Linked DNA regions of Rattus norvegicus. The protein of the gene in region 4 interacts with the protein of the main gene of each other region in a biochemical or structural test. Links are inferred from orthologs where the notes say so. Each region holds a gene or a part of one and is shown on either strand. Other genes may lie near its edges. The genes, in order: Ocrl, Hip1, Arrb2 and Cltc.

Region 1 (3,560 bases), on a different chromosome or scaffold from region 4:
TTCCCATCCGTTCTCACCCTCCTCCCCTTTCCCTCAATGAGGGTGCTCCTCCACCCACTCACCGCTCTAGCATCCCCACTGGGGCATCAAGCGTCCCTCCCCTCCCATTGATGTCAGAAAAGTCCATCCTCTGCTACATATGTATCTGGAGTCCTGGCTTCCAAGAGTTCTTTTGTTAGGTATCTGGCAAAACACTTTTAAAAGTTATGTTAATCAAAATACCCATTCATAAAAGTGATAAAAGCAACATTGTGTTTGTTTCAACTTGATCTTTGTTTTTGAATTATCTTTTTTGCTGTAATGTTATTAGATTTTTTGTTGGAACTTGGAATGTGAATGGCCAGTCTCCAGACAGCAGCTTAGAACCTTGGCTGAACTGTGATCCAAATCCTCCTGATATTTACTGCATTGGGTAAGGAGCGCTTCTGGACCTTCCTTTTCCTATATTTGGTGTTACCGTAACCTGACTGTGGCCCCCCTCTCATCTGTGTGTGTGTTTGTGTGTGTACACATGTGGGTGTGTGCATGTGACCCCACAGGTTATCAGGTGTCTTGCTCAATCACTCTCCATCTTATTTCCTTTCCATTTCTTTAATTCTTTAAACATTTAACTTATACATATATGATTAATTTTAGTTGTTTGCACCCCTGTTACCTTCTTCTCAAAAAACTCCCTCCTACACTCATGTCTTCTTTATATGTACAACCCACTGTGTTTAGTTGGAGTTTCTTTTGTGAACATGGATGGGATGTTATTTACTAGAGCAACTCATCGGTGGCTTTCCCACCAAAGAAAGTGATACCCCTTCCACCAGCAACGGTTAACTGCCCACTGTCCCTTAAAAAGGGGTAGGGCCTCATGGGCCCCTCCCCCATTCATGATGAAATGATGACGGGCCCAATCTGTGCAGGACTTAGACAACCACAGCTGTACTGAGTTGAGGGGAACCATGGTGATGTCATCCACGTGATGTCCTTTTGCTGTACATGTCCCCATCTTCTGACTCTTACATTCTTGCCACACCCTCTTTCCAGTGTCCCTGAGCCTTGGATTGTGTGATGTAAATGTCCCATAGTGGCAGAGCCCTCTGCCATCATGAATTCTTAGCACTTTGGCGAGTTATGAGTCCCTCCTGTAGCTGCCACCTACTTCTATGATAAAAGCTTTATCTACCTTATTTTTTTAGATGGGGTCTCTCATTGAACCAGGAGTTTGCCTAGAGATAGCTCCTCCCCTGGCTTCCTCCCCAGTGTGGGCATTACAGACACATGCCTGCACAGACAGCTTCTCTGCATGGATGCTGAGGTTTGAACTCACATCCTCACACTTGTACAGCAAGCACTTTACTGACTGGAACATTTCCCCAGCCTTGAGCTTCATATTTTTTCTAAAGCTTGATTGATAAAAGAAATCTTGCTGTGCACTATATGTGAGGGTTAATTTGTGGGTCAAAAGAAAACATGAATGAAACCGTTAACAGGGAACCACTCATCGTAGAAACGGATGAGATCAATTCTCAAAGTGATTATTCAAAGGTTGTAAAAGACAAGTTTCACTATGAGAGTTTTGATATTGTTCAGTTTTTGTATAACCTATGAATGTACTGGTGGGGATTCTCTAGAAAATCTATGTGCCTTTTGTAAAATTTATCTCATACTCTTTTTTTTCTTTACTCTAATGTCTCAGCAAATGGGAAAGGATGTAGCTAAGGAAAGTTGTGGCTGTGTATAGTGCCTGCATCTCTTTTCCCCTCAGATTCCAAGAGCTGGACTTGAGCACAGAAGCCTTTTTCTACTTTGAGTCTGTAAAAGAGCAAGAATGGGCCATGGCTGTGGAAAGGGGTCTGCCTTCGAAGGCCAAGTATAAAAAGGTAAGCTGCGCTGGGTTCTCGCTTTTAGCAGATGATTAAGTAGAACTCACTGGGAGTCATCCATTAACTGAACCTCTTCCAAAAGGCTTAAATAATTGACTTCTTCCCCGTATGAAATACTGCGTGCGCCATATGAGACTAATCTACTGGAGTTACTTCTGAGAAAAAATTCGTAAGCTTTCTGATCATACATTTTCATCATTTAGTTTTTTAGAATAAATCAATATATTGCTTTTACATTAATAATCCAAATAGTTACATATAAGCTAACTGATCTGTCTGTGTAAAAATATATAAGATTGTCCTCCAACATGGCCAGAATGAAATGCCTACAAAAAGAGCAGTATGGGGGTTGGGGATTTAGCTCAGTGGCAGAGCGCTTGCCTAGCAAGCGCAAGGCCCTGGGTTCGATCCCCAGCTCCAAAAAAAGAAAAGAAAAAAAAAAAGAAGAGCAGTATGAAGTATATGGGGCGCAGAGAGGATGCTTTCAATTCAGAACAAGAATAGCAGTATTGTGGGATTTAAGCACATTCTGAACTTCTTTGTCAGTCAAGAATTGACTTGAGCAAAGTGGTCCAATTTGTTAGTCTTTAGAAGATATCTGCTAGGAGCATTTAGCTACTAGGAGTTATGTTCATCTTAAGACTACTGTCCCACCCCATATGAACAACAATGCCAAGCAACCAGAGCTTCCAGGGACTAAGCCACTACCCAAAGACTACAGGGACTGACCCTGGACTCTGACCTCATAGGTAGCAATGAATATCCTAGTAAGAGCACCAGTGGAAGGGGAAGCCCTGGGTCCTGCTAAGACTGAACCCCCAGTGAACTAGATTGTTGGGGGGAGGGCGGCAATGGGGGGAGGGTGGGGAGGGGAACACCCATAAGGAAGGGGAGGGGTTAGGGGGATGTTGACCTGGAAACCAGGAAAGGGAATAACAATTGAAATGTAAATAAGAAATACTCAATAAAGATGGAGGGGGAAAAAAAGAAAGAAAACAAATAACTCTAACCAATAAAAAGAAAGGAAAAAGAAAAAACACAGCATGCCATTTTCTATGCTGCTTGTTGAACCATTAAAATTCAGTCTTGATCATGTAAATTAAGTGTGGATCTGTGAAGAACTGTATAATTTGGATAGAGCTGGATTAAATGTATTTCTGATTTGGAAAAGAAAAAGACTACTGTCCCAAACTCAAACAAAGTCATCTATGGTTTTGAACAGTTTACGTAGTGACCATTTGAACTTTTAATATGCTCTCAACGGGCTACAGAGTGATGGGTATGGCTCAGTGGGAGATAGCTGCATGACATGCTCAGCGTTCTCCATTTGACCCTCAGCACTGATAAATAGAAGCAGAGAGACAGAGGCATACACAGAGAGAGGCAGACAGACACAGAAAGACAGACACATACACTCACAGAGAGACAGAGAAAGAGAGAGAGAAACAGACTTATGCACTGTCCCTCAAGGCTTTTAACTCTTATTAATCAAAGCCAGACTAGAGCTTCCACAGAGAATCTTAGTTTCCAATTTATGGGGTCTGATTGGAAATTAGAGGATGCAGATCTAGATTTGAACATTAGTAATCATCTCATTGGACATCCTAGGAAGTTAGCTATGTAGCAGAGAGTGATGCTTATTTTAGCCCTTAGTAACTCTCTGGAATTCATAGGTTCAACTGGTCC
Region 2 (4,276 bases), on a different chromosome or scaffold from region 4:
TTTGGGTTACTGACATTCTTTTGCAGATAGGGTCTCCCTATGTATAGGCATGGTTAGCCTGGAATCTGCTATGGAGACCACACTGGCAAGGATCCTCCTGCCTCTGCCTCCTGAGTGCTGGGATTGTCAAAGTGTCCCACCATGCCTGCCAGCTTGAGAGAATTTCAACAACTCAGTTGGATTGTGCTGCCTCATGCCAGTAATCTGAGCACTAGGGAGGCCAAGGCAGGGAGATGAAAGTTTGAGGGCCAGCCTGGTCTACATAGCTGAGTTCCAGGCTAGCCTGAGCAACACAGTAAGATCCTCACTCAAATAAAACAAAAGCAACAATAACAAAACAAACAAAAAATTAAAAAAAAAAAAACCCTCAGCACTTGGGAGGCAGAGGCAGGCAGACCATTGTGAGTCTGAGGCTAGCCTGATCTACAAAGTGAGTTCCGGGTCAGCCAGAGCTGTTATACAGAGAAACCCTATCTGTAAAAATCAAAAAGAAAAGAAAAAAAGGGGAGGGAGGAGTTTCCATAACTGAAAAACTCTGCTGTAGTATATCTCAATGCGTGTGCACACATGCACACACACACACACACACACACACACACACACACACCAAATCTGACTAATAACAAGTGTTCTACGAAGGTAAAATTAGACACTGACCTACCAGTCTTCCTGTTGAGTATTCCCTGGGTAACTAGGAAAAATGTTAGTTGTGGCTGGAAACATTTCAAATGCCTAATTTCTTTCTTTTTTTTTTTTTCTTTTCTTTTTTTTTCGGGGCTGGGGATTGAACCCAGGACCTTGTGCTTCCTAGGCAAGCGCTCTACCACTGAGCCAAATCCCCAACCCCTCAAATGCCTAATTTCTATCACTGTCTATTAATTTCAAACTTTCAAAAACACTCTTAATGTAATTTTGGGTGTGTGTGTATGGAGGGGTGTTCATGGCGCAGCTCAAAACTGAAGTCAGAGGGCAACATGGCTCCTTCCCTGGCATGAAACGCAGGTGGCCCCTTAGCCAGCTCCACTGGGCCTAAGCTCAAACTTTTGTTTTGTTTTGTCTTTGTTTTTTTGGAGCTGACGACTGAACCCAGGGCCTTGCGCTTGCTAGGCAAGCGCTCTACCACTGAGCTAAATCCCCAACCCCAAGCTCAAACTTTTATGTCTAACTTACTGCTCCAGTTTTAAGCTATCAGAGATTCTCAGACGGTTGGATGTCACAAAATAGCTCCGGCTTATTTTCCTCTTTCAGTTTAAAAATAAAAGAGGTTTGTAGCGGGGAGAAGATGAAAACTTTCTTTTTCCTTTTGGCAGCAATGCCCAAAGTTCAGAAGATCTGAGAAATTAAAAAAGTTCCAAAAACCCTTAGACATTGAGAGGTAAGTGAATGCCGGTTCTCCTCCTCCCCGGGTACAACTACCCCTTTTTTCCCCCAGACACAAGAAGTGGATCCAGGGGTCTCAGAAACAAGAGGTGGATTAAAGTCCCCTGGGGTGAAAAGGCTGTCTTCCGTGCACCGTCCATTTATAGAACTCACGGGCTCTCCTATCTCTTCCACCTTTTCTACTCACAGAACACCACAGGGGAGCTGCCTCTGGCTGAAGTCAACTCGATCTTCAAAGTAGAACTTGGAGAGCCAGAGGAGAACAAGAAATCTACGGGCCCAGCTTCCGCAGTGGGATCCGAAGGGTTGTACTCTCAGATTTTACATACAGATGAATTGGTAACTACACACCCAGCGCCTCACTACTTGACTCGGTCCGATCGATACAGCATGCATAAAAGCTTGAGATAAAAGTGGATAGTGGCTTTTTGTTGATAACCGCGGTGGAATTTTGGCCATCTGCCCTGGTCAGACCAGACAAGGCAGGCGGTCTGCTTAGTAGCTGTCAGGCATATTTTGGAGGGTGAAAGGAAAACCGCAAATCAGGATTCTATGTATCACTGGAGAGCTTAACCCGACACGCGAGGGTCTGACAGTCCAAGCGTCGCAATTCCTACACGCGTCCCCATTTCTCCAAACCCCCGGGGGTCATTTTCCAAGTTGGACCACACTTCACATTTCCTACGGTCCCTCCCATCACTCAGACCCCTTTGGCGCAGCCTCTGAGGCCAACAGCTGGGGCTGCTGAGAGCCAAGTTAGAGGCACCGTTGAACGAGATGCTGGGGAATGAAGGAAGAAGTCAATACTAAAGTAAAGCGATCAGAGCCACCCTTTACACCTCTACGTTGGTGTCCCCACACTTGCAAAAACCGAGTGACTTCCAAGTGCTTCCCCTACCCAGGAGCACCCCTTCCATCAGTCCCTTTTCGACTCCCTTTGGCCTCCCTTGTGACCTCTGATGGTGCTCGCCGAGGCTATTCTCTCAGTTGCAGGAATCTGCAGTTCCCCGGAGTACACCCCGACCCCCGTGCCAGTAGGGATGCCCAGGTCCCGGACCTCCCTGGGACCCGCCTAGTTCCGCACCCCAAAATGATTCTGATCGCAGCCACCTTGCCTAATTCCCTCCCGGGACTGCAAGACTCACTCCGTTCCAAGCCTCTCTAGCACCCTGCATCACTCCAGGTGCCCCCAGGGATGCCCCAGGGTTCTCGAATCTCACCTGAGTCCGCTCGAAGCTCTCGCGCTCCGCAGCCTCCATCCCAGCACCAACCCCGCGCCGGCTCAACACTTTGGGCAGCGGGTTGGGTACCTGCTTCATGGAGCTGGCCATCCGGTCCATGTTGTCTGGGTGAACAGAGTCAGGGGCCCTCGGCCGCCCCGGGATCCCCGCGGCGCCTCCCGCCCCTCCCTACCCGCGGGGATCCGGCGCTAACGGGGACAGATTACGTCTTCCATTGGTTGACAGCGCTGTCCATCTCCCTCAGGACCCACCCCATCTCTCCAAGAGGCTTTTCCCCACATCCCTTTTCCCACTTCGGAGGCGCTCCGCTCACTTCACCGGCTGGCCCGCCTCAGAGCGGTCGGCATGCTATGACTGGTCTGAAGGTTTGTCCGTTAACTTCTGTGGGCAGGACCTGGTGGGCTCTTGCTCCCTCCCCGAGGCTCCGCCCCATGATCGATACACCGCCTTCCAGGCCTAGAAATGCACTGTCATTGGTCTGAAGAGTTATCTGTCAACACAGCAGGGCTGGCTTCGTGAGCTGCCCTCACCATTTTTTTGCTGCTCCACCCTACATCCGTCACTCCTCCTTTGTTCCCACCCTACAGGACCAAAAGAGCACCATGATTGCTCTGAAGGCTTGTCCGTCATCTTAATGGGGCAGGGCCTGGCTGCTACAGACCAGCCCTTGAGACTCCACCCTATCTCGAAGCGCCACCTCCTGGGCCCTTCTCTGCTGCGGGTTGCTGAGCTCGAAGAGCTGCCGTCCAGCCGGCGCCACGAGTTCCCGAGGGGGACGGAAAGGCAGATCAAGGGAAGCATGGCTGCACCGCTTTCACCAGGCTTGCCGGGGAACTCCGCATCAGTGTGGTCCGGCGATGGCGGCCTTAGTGGCTCTCGAAGTCTCCTCCCCGTGCATTCCTATCTGCCAGTTCTGGAGGATCGCCGACCCGGGTCCCCAAGTACTGGACTTTGACTGCGGGTATCTCCCCAGAGCTTTCCCTTACCTTGGTAGAAACCCCAACAGATGCTCCTTGTTTATCTATAGCAGGGTCCACTCCTCCCATCCTGTTCTGGGAGCATCTACAGACTGGGACGTGTGCTCCTCAGCAAAGAAAATGTTACACGTTCTCTACTAACAGAACCAGTGGCACCGTTAAGAATTTAAAAAAATTGATGATGCTATTCATCTATCTGTTCAAGAACCCAGTACACGTCTCACTTGTACTAGGCAATGTTTTGATTAATGAATGACAGCATCAAACTCATTATATAGCCGAGTCCCTCGAATCTCCGTGGACCACGATGCTTGGCTTTTGTTAATGTGTGTGAATTATGTACCTGTGTGTATGTGTGGGACTGTGCTCACGCGGCAGTGCACCTGTGGAGGTCAGAAAGCAAACAAGATTCTGTTCCCTACCATGTGGATCCCAGAGAGCTGACGTGGGTCGTAGGCTTAGTAGCAACTTACCTGAGCGATCACACCAGTGGGACGCTTTAAAGACAGTGTTCCAAGACAGGTGGTGGCGGCCCACAGCTTTAGTCACAACACTCAGGAGGCAGAGGCAGATGGATCCCTGAGTTCAAGGCCAGCCTGGTCTATAGACTGAGTTCCGGGACAGCCAGTACTCTGTGTGTGTGTGTGTGTGTGTGTGTGTGTGTGTGTGTGTGTGTGT
Region 3 (4,184 bases), about 16 Mb from region 4:
GGAAGACCCCACTGCCTCCCTTAGGCTGGGCAGGGACCACCACGCCGGGATTTATCCCTCCCCCCAGAGAAATGGAATTCACCCTGGATCCCTGCTCGACCCTTCCCACTGCTTTTTTTTACTGCTTCCCACCGGTATTTGAAGCCTCTTGAAGCCAACTGTCAGGCCTTTCCTCTTTGCTGTTGATGTTACTAACTCACTCCTCCGCTTATAGTAAATGGCCACTGTTTGCCCCAGCCAACTATTCAGGCTCTCCTGAGGGACCCTCTCCGAAACCAAGAGTCAACTGATGGCTACACAATGTCTGGGTCACACCTAACACTCCTCCCTCCCTTTTGACCTTGGCCTTAGTATGTAACTCTGGCTAGCCTGGAACTTGACTTGTAGACCAGGCTGGCCCCAACTCAGATCCATTTACCTCTGTCTCTTTGGTGCTAGGATGAAGGGGCACGAACTACCACACTCAGATGAACTCTTTAACTGACCTCTAGCTTCAAGGACTCACACAGTGACTCCTGGAGCAGAGTCTTTGCCCCTCAGATGTTTCTGTCCCCAAGTCTGACTATTTCATGAACCTCCAACAGCCCCGTTTCTGACCTCAGCAGCTTAAAAAAAAACAAAAACAAAAAAACCCACTGTGGTCCCCACACAGTAGCATCCTGTGACAAACATGGTGATTCTGGCTAACATTGACTGGTGACTGCTGTGTTCTAGCACTGTACCAACTGCGTTTACAGCTCTTATCGCCCAGTGACAGAGGCTAAAAGACCCCGGCTTTACGGCAAACAAGAATTTTGTCAAAGGTCACAGAGAAGGTACAGGGTGGGACTCGGATATAAACCTGAGGAAGGCACCCTGGTTTCAAGACCCTGTTCTCAACCACTAAGTCGTGAAGCTCGCCTGTCACAGTTTGTCAAGTCTAAGGGGATTTTTCTGTACAGACACTAGAACAACCTAAGTCTAGACTCCACCCACGGCTAGGAGGATAGGAAACTGTCTAGTGACCCCAGAGCTCTGGCCATTCCTTGGCTTGTTCTTCCAAGAACAACTCTACCCCTTCTAAGGCCTTTTGGCTCCGGAGCAATTCCTGAAAGGGCCCCCAGATAACAGGCTGAAAACTGCCCAGAGTTCCATCCTCCCTTCAACACACTATGTGAGTTTCTGCTTGGAAAAACCACTTGTCTCCTCCTTCCCCAAAGCCAAGCTGCCCATACATCACTGGGCCACACACACTTAGGGTCACATGGCATATACATAGGCTGCCCTAAGTATCCCCAAGTAATAAAGGCACATTTGGACATGGTGGCGGTTAGAATAATCACTCTAATTTCTGTCCCAATTAGGGCTGACAGCTTGGACATCACCTAGGTTGGCTCTTTCTCCTACTTCTGGTTTCCTCCTGTCTTGTATTTTCCCCCACTGGGAGCCCTGGCAGAACCTGTGACGACCACACAATCATTGTATCTCCGTCAGTTGCCCTGCTCTTACCCAGCCATGGTTAGGGAGGGCGCAGCGTGCACAGTGTGCTTGGCCAAGAAGGCAGAGCAAGGGAATTACCAGGGAGGTACCCAGCTTGGAGGGGTGCAGCTAAAGCAGATGCCTCTTTGTACTTCCTGCCATTCTCGCCATTTCCTCTGGCCCAGAATTTGATGAGATGGTAGGGAATTATGCCAAGTCAGCAGTCTTTCTTTGGTCCATCTATTCCCTCCCTGAAGTACTCAACGGAAATTTGGGGGCCTCCCCCCCAAGTAAGTGACTTCTCCTTTCTCTGGGGTTTAGTTTAACCTCAAATCTAGGAGGTCAATCTTCCCTGTAAGCATCTCTCTCAGATATTGGTCTTCTTAATACTTAAGGGCAGTGGGAGTGGTGGGGTTGGTCTCATGTTTTGCAGAAGTCACTGTTCATAATCAGGCCCTTATCCTTGGTCCTCTCTGGCTTGAGGCACATGGCCCCAACCTATTATTTAGTTCTTGCTCCTTTGGAACTCAAGTATTCACCCCATGTCCTCCTGGGGGTGTTGGGTCACAACAGGAAGTGGATTTTGCTATAGACCAAAAAAGAGAACTCTGGTATCAGTGGAAGGAAGGAGCCTCGATTGCACAGAAAACATCCGGGGAGAGGATGTGTGTCCAGGGCAGATACTACCTCTCTCTCTCCCCAGGACAGGAATAAAGCCCAATTTCAGCGAGGGTCCCTATGCACTCTACTCTCTCAAGAAGCTGTTGCTCCTAGCAACCTAGGAGAAGGCAGAAGTTTGGTAGCAGAGCTATCCGACCCTTGGGACAGGTGGGAGCAATCAGACTGTGGGGTATTGGGCAGGAGGCTTTCCATTGGTTGGGCACGAGTCTAGGGGAATCCCTTCCCAGCATCCAGTCTCCCAGCACACAACCCCTCGGGGCCGGCCACCTGCTCCTCCTTCCTCCGCCCCTGCATCACAGCCTGCAGAGAACCCAGTAGTCCGACTCCTACATCTCTGTGAGAACCCAGGCGTGGGTTTCCCGATCTCTATCAAGTCTTGCTTTTTGCAGGAGCCCCAGCACGCACCCCCACTCCAATATCCTCAAGGACCTAGGCTTGCGGCCCCGGACAGCTACCCTCTAGGGACCCAGGCGTCCGGCCCCGGGGTTTCTTCCCCGGTGTCCTTGTCTGTGGATCAACCTGGCACACTCCGCGAGCAGCCGCCCATGCCCCGCGGCACGGCCCCACCTCCCTTACCTGGTCCCGGGTTTTTCACCCATGGTGCGCGCGCGCTCGCCGCCCTCCACCCGCCGGGTTCGCGGCTCGCTCGCAGCCTTCTCACCCGCTGCCAGGTCCCCACTCCTCCCCGAGTCACTGCGCACGCGCGTCCTCACTCTTTCTCCTCCTTCCCCTCCCCTCGCGGTCTGGGTCTAGGGGAGCTGGGGCCAGCTGCGTCAGCCGGAGCCCGCGCGCCGCGGCGCAGCCCGCCCTCTTCGAGCTGGCTCCGCCCCACGCCTCCGCCCTCAGTCTCCCTCGGGGAAGCCTCCTCGCGCCGTCCCTACTCTCGATCTCCCCGCCCCTCCTCAAGCCTTTGGAACTAGATTGGGCCCCTTAAAATGGAGGCGGCCGCCTTCGAGAAGTTTAGAAGCAGCTGATTGGCCGTTGGTATCCATAGCCCTGCAGGGATCCCTCCCCTTTGTTTGCTTTCACTGTAGCGGAGGAGGGACGGGATCGAGGGGGCGGTGGGAATGAGCTCAAACACTGTCTGGGTCTGAGCACCAAGGGGCTGCCCACGTGGGTGAGCCGTATCTGTTGCGTGATGATGCTTGCTTTGGTATGCGCTGCTCATCCCTGAGCTTGCAGCCTTGTTTGGCCTACCTTTCCCGCGTTCTCGTGGTCTTCAGCTCCCCCTGGTGTATTGTCTTTGATTTTTTTTTTTTTTTTTTGCAGTGTCACTTTAAAACATTCAGACTTTGTCATCTCCCTTACCGTCTATCCTAGCCATCATTCACCTACTCCACTTATCTCTTCCATTCTTCATCCTTCCCTCCCTGCCTATTTTGTGTAAGTCACTGTGCAGAGCCATCGGGACAACATCATGGCCTAAGTTTCCTGGGATCCGTGAGACATATAAAACAGGTATTATGCTCCCAGGAACGCTATAATAGATATGACTCAGACCATCAAGCAACTAAAAGCCTAAAAGCGCTTGGCCAGCGTGGAGGAGGGAGTGCAGTCACTCCATAGCATAGGAAATTTGAGGACAGCCCTTCTGAAGGATGGACAGAAGTGGGGAAAGGACATCCTAAAGATGAGTAAGGAAAAGCACGCCCTGTTCTAAAATGTCTGTGGGTTAGATGGCAGGAGGTAGAGCTGCGGAGGAATAGAAGAGACGGTGGAAGACTGTGTATAGCAGGTGAAAGAAAGAGCCCGAGGAACTGTAGTCTTTATTTAATTTAATTTAATTTAATTTTCTGCTAGGGCCTCACATATGCTTAGCTCACCACTAATTCCAGCCCAGTGCTGATTTGATTGGGTTTTGCTTTCACCAGAGGAATGTCGAGATAGGACTTCTCTTTTTGGGTAACGTGTCGCATAGCGAGACCGCTCGCTAGAAGATAAGCTAGCCGAGGGAAAATGATGAACAGAGAGTGGAGGGGAGCAGAGGGGCCATATTAGAGGTTCATTGCTGGGGCAGCATTGACTGGGTTTGGCGGAAGACGACA
Region 4 (4,360 bases):
TGTTCTGCAGCCTAGAATTTGTTCAGAATCTGTAACTCAACAAAAATTCCTTCATCACATAAAATATTAAAATTATGTGATGTAGTTCCAAGCCTTGATGACAGATCTTTATCTAAACACGTACAAAGGGATATGAAAATAAATAGCAATTTTTTATTTGCAACACTCTCATAAAAAGCTTAAAAAAAATGTAGAGTTTGCTGTTAACTTTCACAAGTGAACTCTACACTCTCTAGTTCCTCATTTTCCAGTTCTTCTCCTAAGCGTTTTAAAAGTTGTTTTCTAAGCAGAATGGCAGAGGCTTGGAAATCAAAGACTTAAGATGACAACTGAAACACTCCTTACACTGAAGTGTTAAGAGAGGGATAAAAATCTGAGATCAGGGGGTTGGAGATTTAGCTCAGTGGTAGAGCACTTGCCTAGCAAGCGCAAGGCCCTGGGTTCGGTCCCCAGCTCCGAGGGGGGAAAAATCTGAGATCAGGAGAATACATTATCTTGGAAAAGATGGTGATTTGCCCTTTTGACGAAACTGATCACCATCTACTGGAGTGGAATCCTACCAGCCAAAGCTTAAAGTGTAACATGGTCCTCCAAAGAACAGACAGAGATCTTCAAGAACACTTGTAAAGCTATTTTATAAATATTCAAAATCTCCAAATTTAGGAAAACAGTTTCAAGTATTTGCAGAAATTGTTACTCACATGCCACACCTGCATTAAATTTGTTTTTAATTAGTGACAAGTTTGGATTCCAGTCTGTAGACCATTCAACAATTCTGGTCTCGTGTTTAACAGAAATGAAACACTATTACTCAAATCAACAATGATCATGTGATCAGCAGCTGTCTTTGCTTCTCTTGAATATGGTTTATATACATATTTGCAGAAGGCTATTTCTGATAAACTTCAGTGTGGACAAGGGTTAATTCCAAAGATGGGAGGAGAGAAAACAGCAATCCAATTCATGGCCAAATTAATTAAAGCAAGCAATTAATTAAAGCTAGTTTTTTTTTTTTCGTTAATGTACACAGGCTGCCTCCCTCTTAGCTCAGCTTGAAGAGGTCAGCACACTGTCCGCTAGCATCCAGAACAGTGCCTTCCTAACTCTTTATTTTCTTAACAGAGGAAACTCAAACAAGCTTGAATTGAGGACAAAATTAACTTCTCTGTCAGGATTGTCACTTGACATTTTTCAGACTTTTGCAAAATAGAGATCTTATTGCCAAAATCAGGTGAATTATTTGAAAACTAGTGATGACTGAAGAAAGTGTATTTAGCTCATTTTATGGGCAAAGGTCTATTATCATTTACATTTAAAGTCCTAAAGTAAAATAATTTTTTAATGTAAGCAACACGGTAAAAGTCTATAAAGAAATATTTAATTATTTTACTTGTAGCTGAATTTTAGTTAACCCTGTTTATTATCAAACATCTTTTACGTGTATCAACGGAGAACAGTAAATCAGATTGCCTTCAATGATAAAGCACTCAATAAGTTACCAATATTTGAACTGGATCGTTACACCTTCCCTCATGAAATTAGCCCTTCAAAAGATGAAGCTGAAAGCAGATTTCTTTATGGGGATATTTGGGGGGAAGTAAATTATTATGAATAAATTATGATGTTAAAGAGTCAGGACAAGAGAACCAGGAAAAGCAGCAGTTCAGAAGAAGCTTAATTCAGCGAAGCCCTCCAATGGTCACCTGCCTAGGCCAACTGCTGGCATGGTGCCAGGTTAGACAATGGTGTATTGACTCCAGGATAAGGTGCAGTGGGGGGAGGGGGGCACCCCAGCCTATTAAAAAGAAGCCAGTTATAGATCAACTTGTCAGGTACTGTCTCAGAGCAGGTATGCATTTACAGCACTCCAGGCTCTGTTGAATTCCACACAGTCCTGTGAGACATACTCCTGCCTTAATCCCACAACTACCTGCTAGATTCCAAAAGACCATAAATAACCTCTAAATAACTCTCCCTACCTACAAGAATCAAAGTGAGTCTTAGAACTACACTAACCCTTGAAGAAACCAAGAAAGGAAAAATATGCGCGTTCCCCTTGGGACCTTGACCCCAGGCACCCTGAGACTGACACCGCCCCTAGCCGCCCCTCTATCTTCTTTCTGTTCCTTCAGTGAGTGTGACCTTCGGTTCTTTACAGATTCAGGGAAGGCAAGACACAAGCCACTGCTACCCTAACCCCAAGGTGCCTTTCTCAGCTGTGAGCTGCAGAGCGAAGATGCAGCTCCTCCCCAACCCACCCGCCACACAATTCCTGGGTGCAGACTCGATGTGGAAATCGGAATAGACCAAGGGAAGGTGACAGCCCTGCATCGCCCGGAGTTAACGAGAATTCTTGCTCTGGGAGAAACGCGCGAGAAGCTCCCCCACCTAGCCCCTACCCAAATGAATGAACTGAGTAAAATGGGAAGGGGGGTCTGGTATGCGCAGTTCTTGCAATCCAGGAAGCAGAAATAAGAGGCCGTCAGACGTAAGGCCTGGCCTCGCCGCCCTTTGCACTCCGATTCGTCATTTCCATCCTAGTCTCATATCGTTTAACCCTTTAAGCTTTTAAGACAGTGTCCTTCCTCCATCAATGCCAAATACCGACACCCCCCCACTCCCGTTCTCTCGATCCCCTTCGGGCCGGGCCGCTAGCTTCCTTCCCAATACCCTCGAAAAGTCCCTCAGCAGCCCCGACTAACACGCACCTGGAGATGCTCCTGAAAGCGAATTGGCAGAATCTGGGCCATGGCGCTGTCGGGGAGTATGGTCTCCTCCTGTCACTGGGGCTGCAGGGCAGTGCCTGCCCGGGCTCTCCAAGGGAGAGGAGGAGAAGGGGAAGGGAGGGGGAGGTTGGGCTCAGAGGAATACTCTCCGGGGACGTAGGGAACTGGCAGGCAGACGAGAGAGCTTGGGTCGGGGGCGGAGGCTCCAAGGGCCGGGAGAGCCGCAATGGCGGAACCGGGAGCAGCGCAGACTCCGGAAACGGCTGAGCCCTGCGGAAGGATCCCGGGGCAGAACTCCGCCCAGCCTCCTCACCCTGTCCGCCTTATGTAGCCTTCCACGAACCCCGTGCAGCGGACAGGCGTAGGAATTCAGGGACGCAGTGCGCGGATCGCTCTTCGCTGATGCGGCAGCGGGGAAACAGAGGAACCGAGGGACTACTTTTTCTAGACTCATCACTTTCCCCAGGCTCCGGTTTCTCCCTCCTCCCCTCCCCCCCACCTTTTTTTTTTTTTTAACATTTTGCCACATCATGCGACTCGGGGCGAACTACGTCATTTCCGTAGGCGCTGTAGGACCCACCCACGCACTTCCAGGTGCACGTGATGCGGGTAGGGAAGGGTCGGTTGACGGCTGCCAGAGTGGAGGGCGAGAGTTAGGGACTGGCCGCTGCTCCTGGGGTTGAGGTGGCCGTTGAGCCCCCTGCCGGCGTGGCGACCGGGGCGTGAGGACACCGAGTGCCTGAGGAGAAGGCCGCGGCGTCGGCGCCGCGGTGACTAAGGGAAAACGGCCCCGCCGCAGCGCTCTTTGGGCGGCTGACTGCGGCGCGCCTCCCCCGCCCGGTTTCACGCAGTGGGTGGTTGCTGACACCTCAGGGAGGGGGGATCGTGCTGAGCTGCAAGCCTCCCTGCCCTGACGCACGCCCTTCTGACGCCAGGAGAGCCGGATGGCTCTCGAGTGCCTCAGATAAACCATCTCAAAGGACAGTGAAGGCCATGTGAGAAGTGTCTCCTGCTGGCCCTGGAGAGAGCTTCCGCGGACATTTTGGTGGACTTACACCAGCCTAATGTAGAGATTAGTTTGGCCTTTGAGAGTTGGGAGTGTTCGGCAACCTGAAAATCTTTAAAGGTTTAGATCAAAGGATGGATGGTGAAAGAAACCTCGAGGGCTTTCTTGGAGCGGAGGGATTGACTGTTGGTCATACACGTTAGTAGGATCATTGCCTGTAGTAGCAAAGTGGGCAGTGTAAGCTCTTCAAAACCGGAGCACCTTGCCTGACTACAGCACTAAGGTATCTGCAGCATTCATTAGCGATTCATAGCCGCTCCAGAGCTCTTGCTAAAGTGTAAGGTGTAATGTTTCACAATAGCACCAATAAGGATGATTTAGAGAATTCAATTCCTCATATTTCATCTTAATTCCCCTGAAAGTTCTTGAGAAAGTTATTTTCAATGCCCCTTTCACCTAAAGAACATAAGACACCACTGGGTATACAATAATTTTGTGTAAGCGGTTTTGCTTACAGAAATCTGCTTAGTCATTTTAGTTGCTTTTAGTGTTTCTCCAAATACTGCCTTTCATACCTGGGCTGAGAGAAACAGGCAAGTGAGAAGGCAGTCAGCCCCCCGTTGTGAAG

Evidence for each region.
Region 1: the proteins of Cltc (region 4) and Ocrl form a complex in vitro, tested with the Homo sapiens proteins (2 studies listed by BioGRID and IntAct, with this or other methods). The link is inferred for Rattus norvegicus from reciprocal best matches to the Homo sapiens genes CLTC and OCRL.
Region 2: the proteins of Cltc (region 4) and Hip1 form a complex in vitro, tested with the Homo sapiens proteins (3 studies listed by BioGRID). The link is inferred for Rattus norvegicus from reciprocal best matches to the Homo sapiens genes CLTC and HIP1.
Region 3: the proteins of Cltc (region 4) and Arrb2 form a complex in vitro, tested with the Homo sapiens proteins (3 studies listed by BioGRID and IntAct, with this or other methods). The link is inferred for Rattus norvegicus from reciprocal best matches to the Homo sapiens genes CLTC and ARRB2.

The regions. Positions count from the first base shown.
Region 1 is NC_086039.1:131,987,946-131,991,505, forward strand, and holds part of Ocrl (inositol polyphosphate 5-phosphatase OCRL), read left to right. Parts: intron 1-310; coding exon 311-412; intron 413-1,756; coding exon 1,757-1,871; intron 1,872-3,547; coding exon 3,548-3,560. UniProt on the Homo sapiens protein: Catalyzes the hydrolysis of the 5-position phosphate of phosphatidylinositol 4,5-bisphosphate (PtdIns(4,5)P2) and phosphatidylinositol-3,4,5-bisphosphate (PtdIns(3,4,5)P3), with the greatest catalytic activity towards PtdIns(4,5)P2.
Region 2 is NC_086030.1:26,768,499-26,772,774, reverse strand, and holds the start of Hip1 (huntingtin-interacting protein 1), read right to left. Parts: upstream 2,829-4,276; 5' UTR 2,721-2,828; coding exon 2,601-2,720; intron 2,595-2,600; exon of another isoform or gene 1-2,594. UniProt on the Homo sapiens protein: Plays a role in clathrin-mediated endocytosis and trafficking. Involved in regulating AMPA receptor trafficking in the central nervous system in an NMDA-dependent manner. Regulates presynaptic nerve terminal activity.
Region 3 is NC_086028.1:55,644,234-55,648,417, reverse strand, and holds the start of Arrb2 (beta-arrestin-2), read right to left. Parts: upstream 2,817-4,184; 5' UTR 2,739-2,816; coding exon 2,716-2,738; intron 12-2,715; exon of another isoform or gene 1-11. UniProt on the Homo sapiens protein: Functions in regulating agonist-mediated G-protein coupled receptor (GPCR) signaling by mediating both receptor desensitization and resensitization processes.
Region 4 is NC_086028.1:72,067,844-72,072,203, forward strand, and holds the start of Cltc (clathrin heavy chain 1), read right to left. Parts: upstream 2,849-4,360; 5' UTR 2,751-2,848; coding exon 2,709-2,750; intron 1-2,708. UniProt on the Homo sapiens protein: Clathrin is the major protein of the polyhedral coat of coated pits and vesicles. Two different adapter protein complexes link the clathrin lattice either to the plasma membrane or to the trans-Golgi network.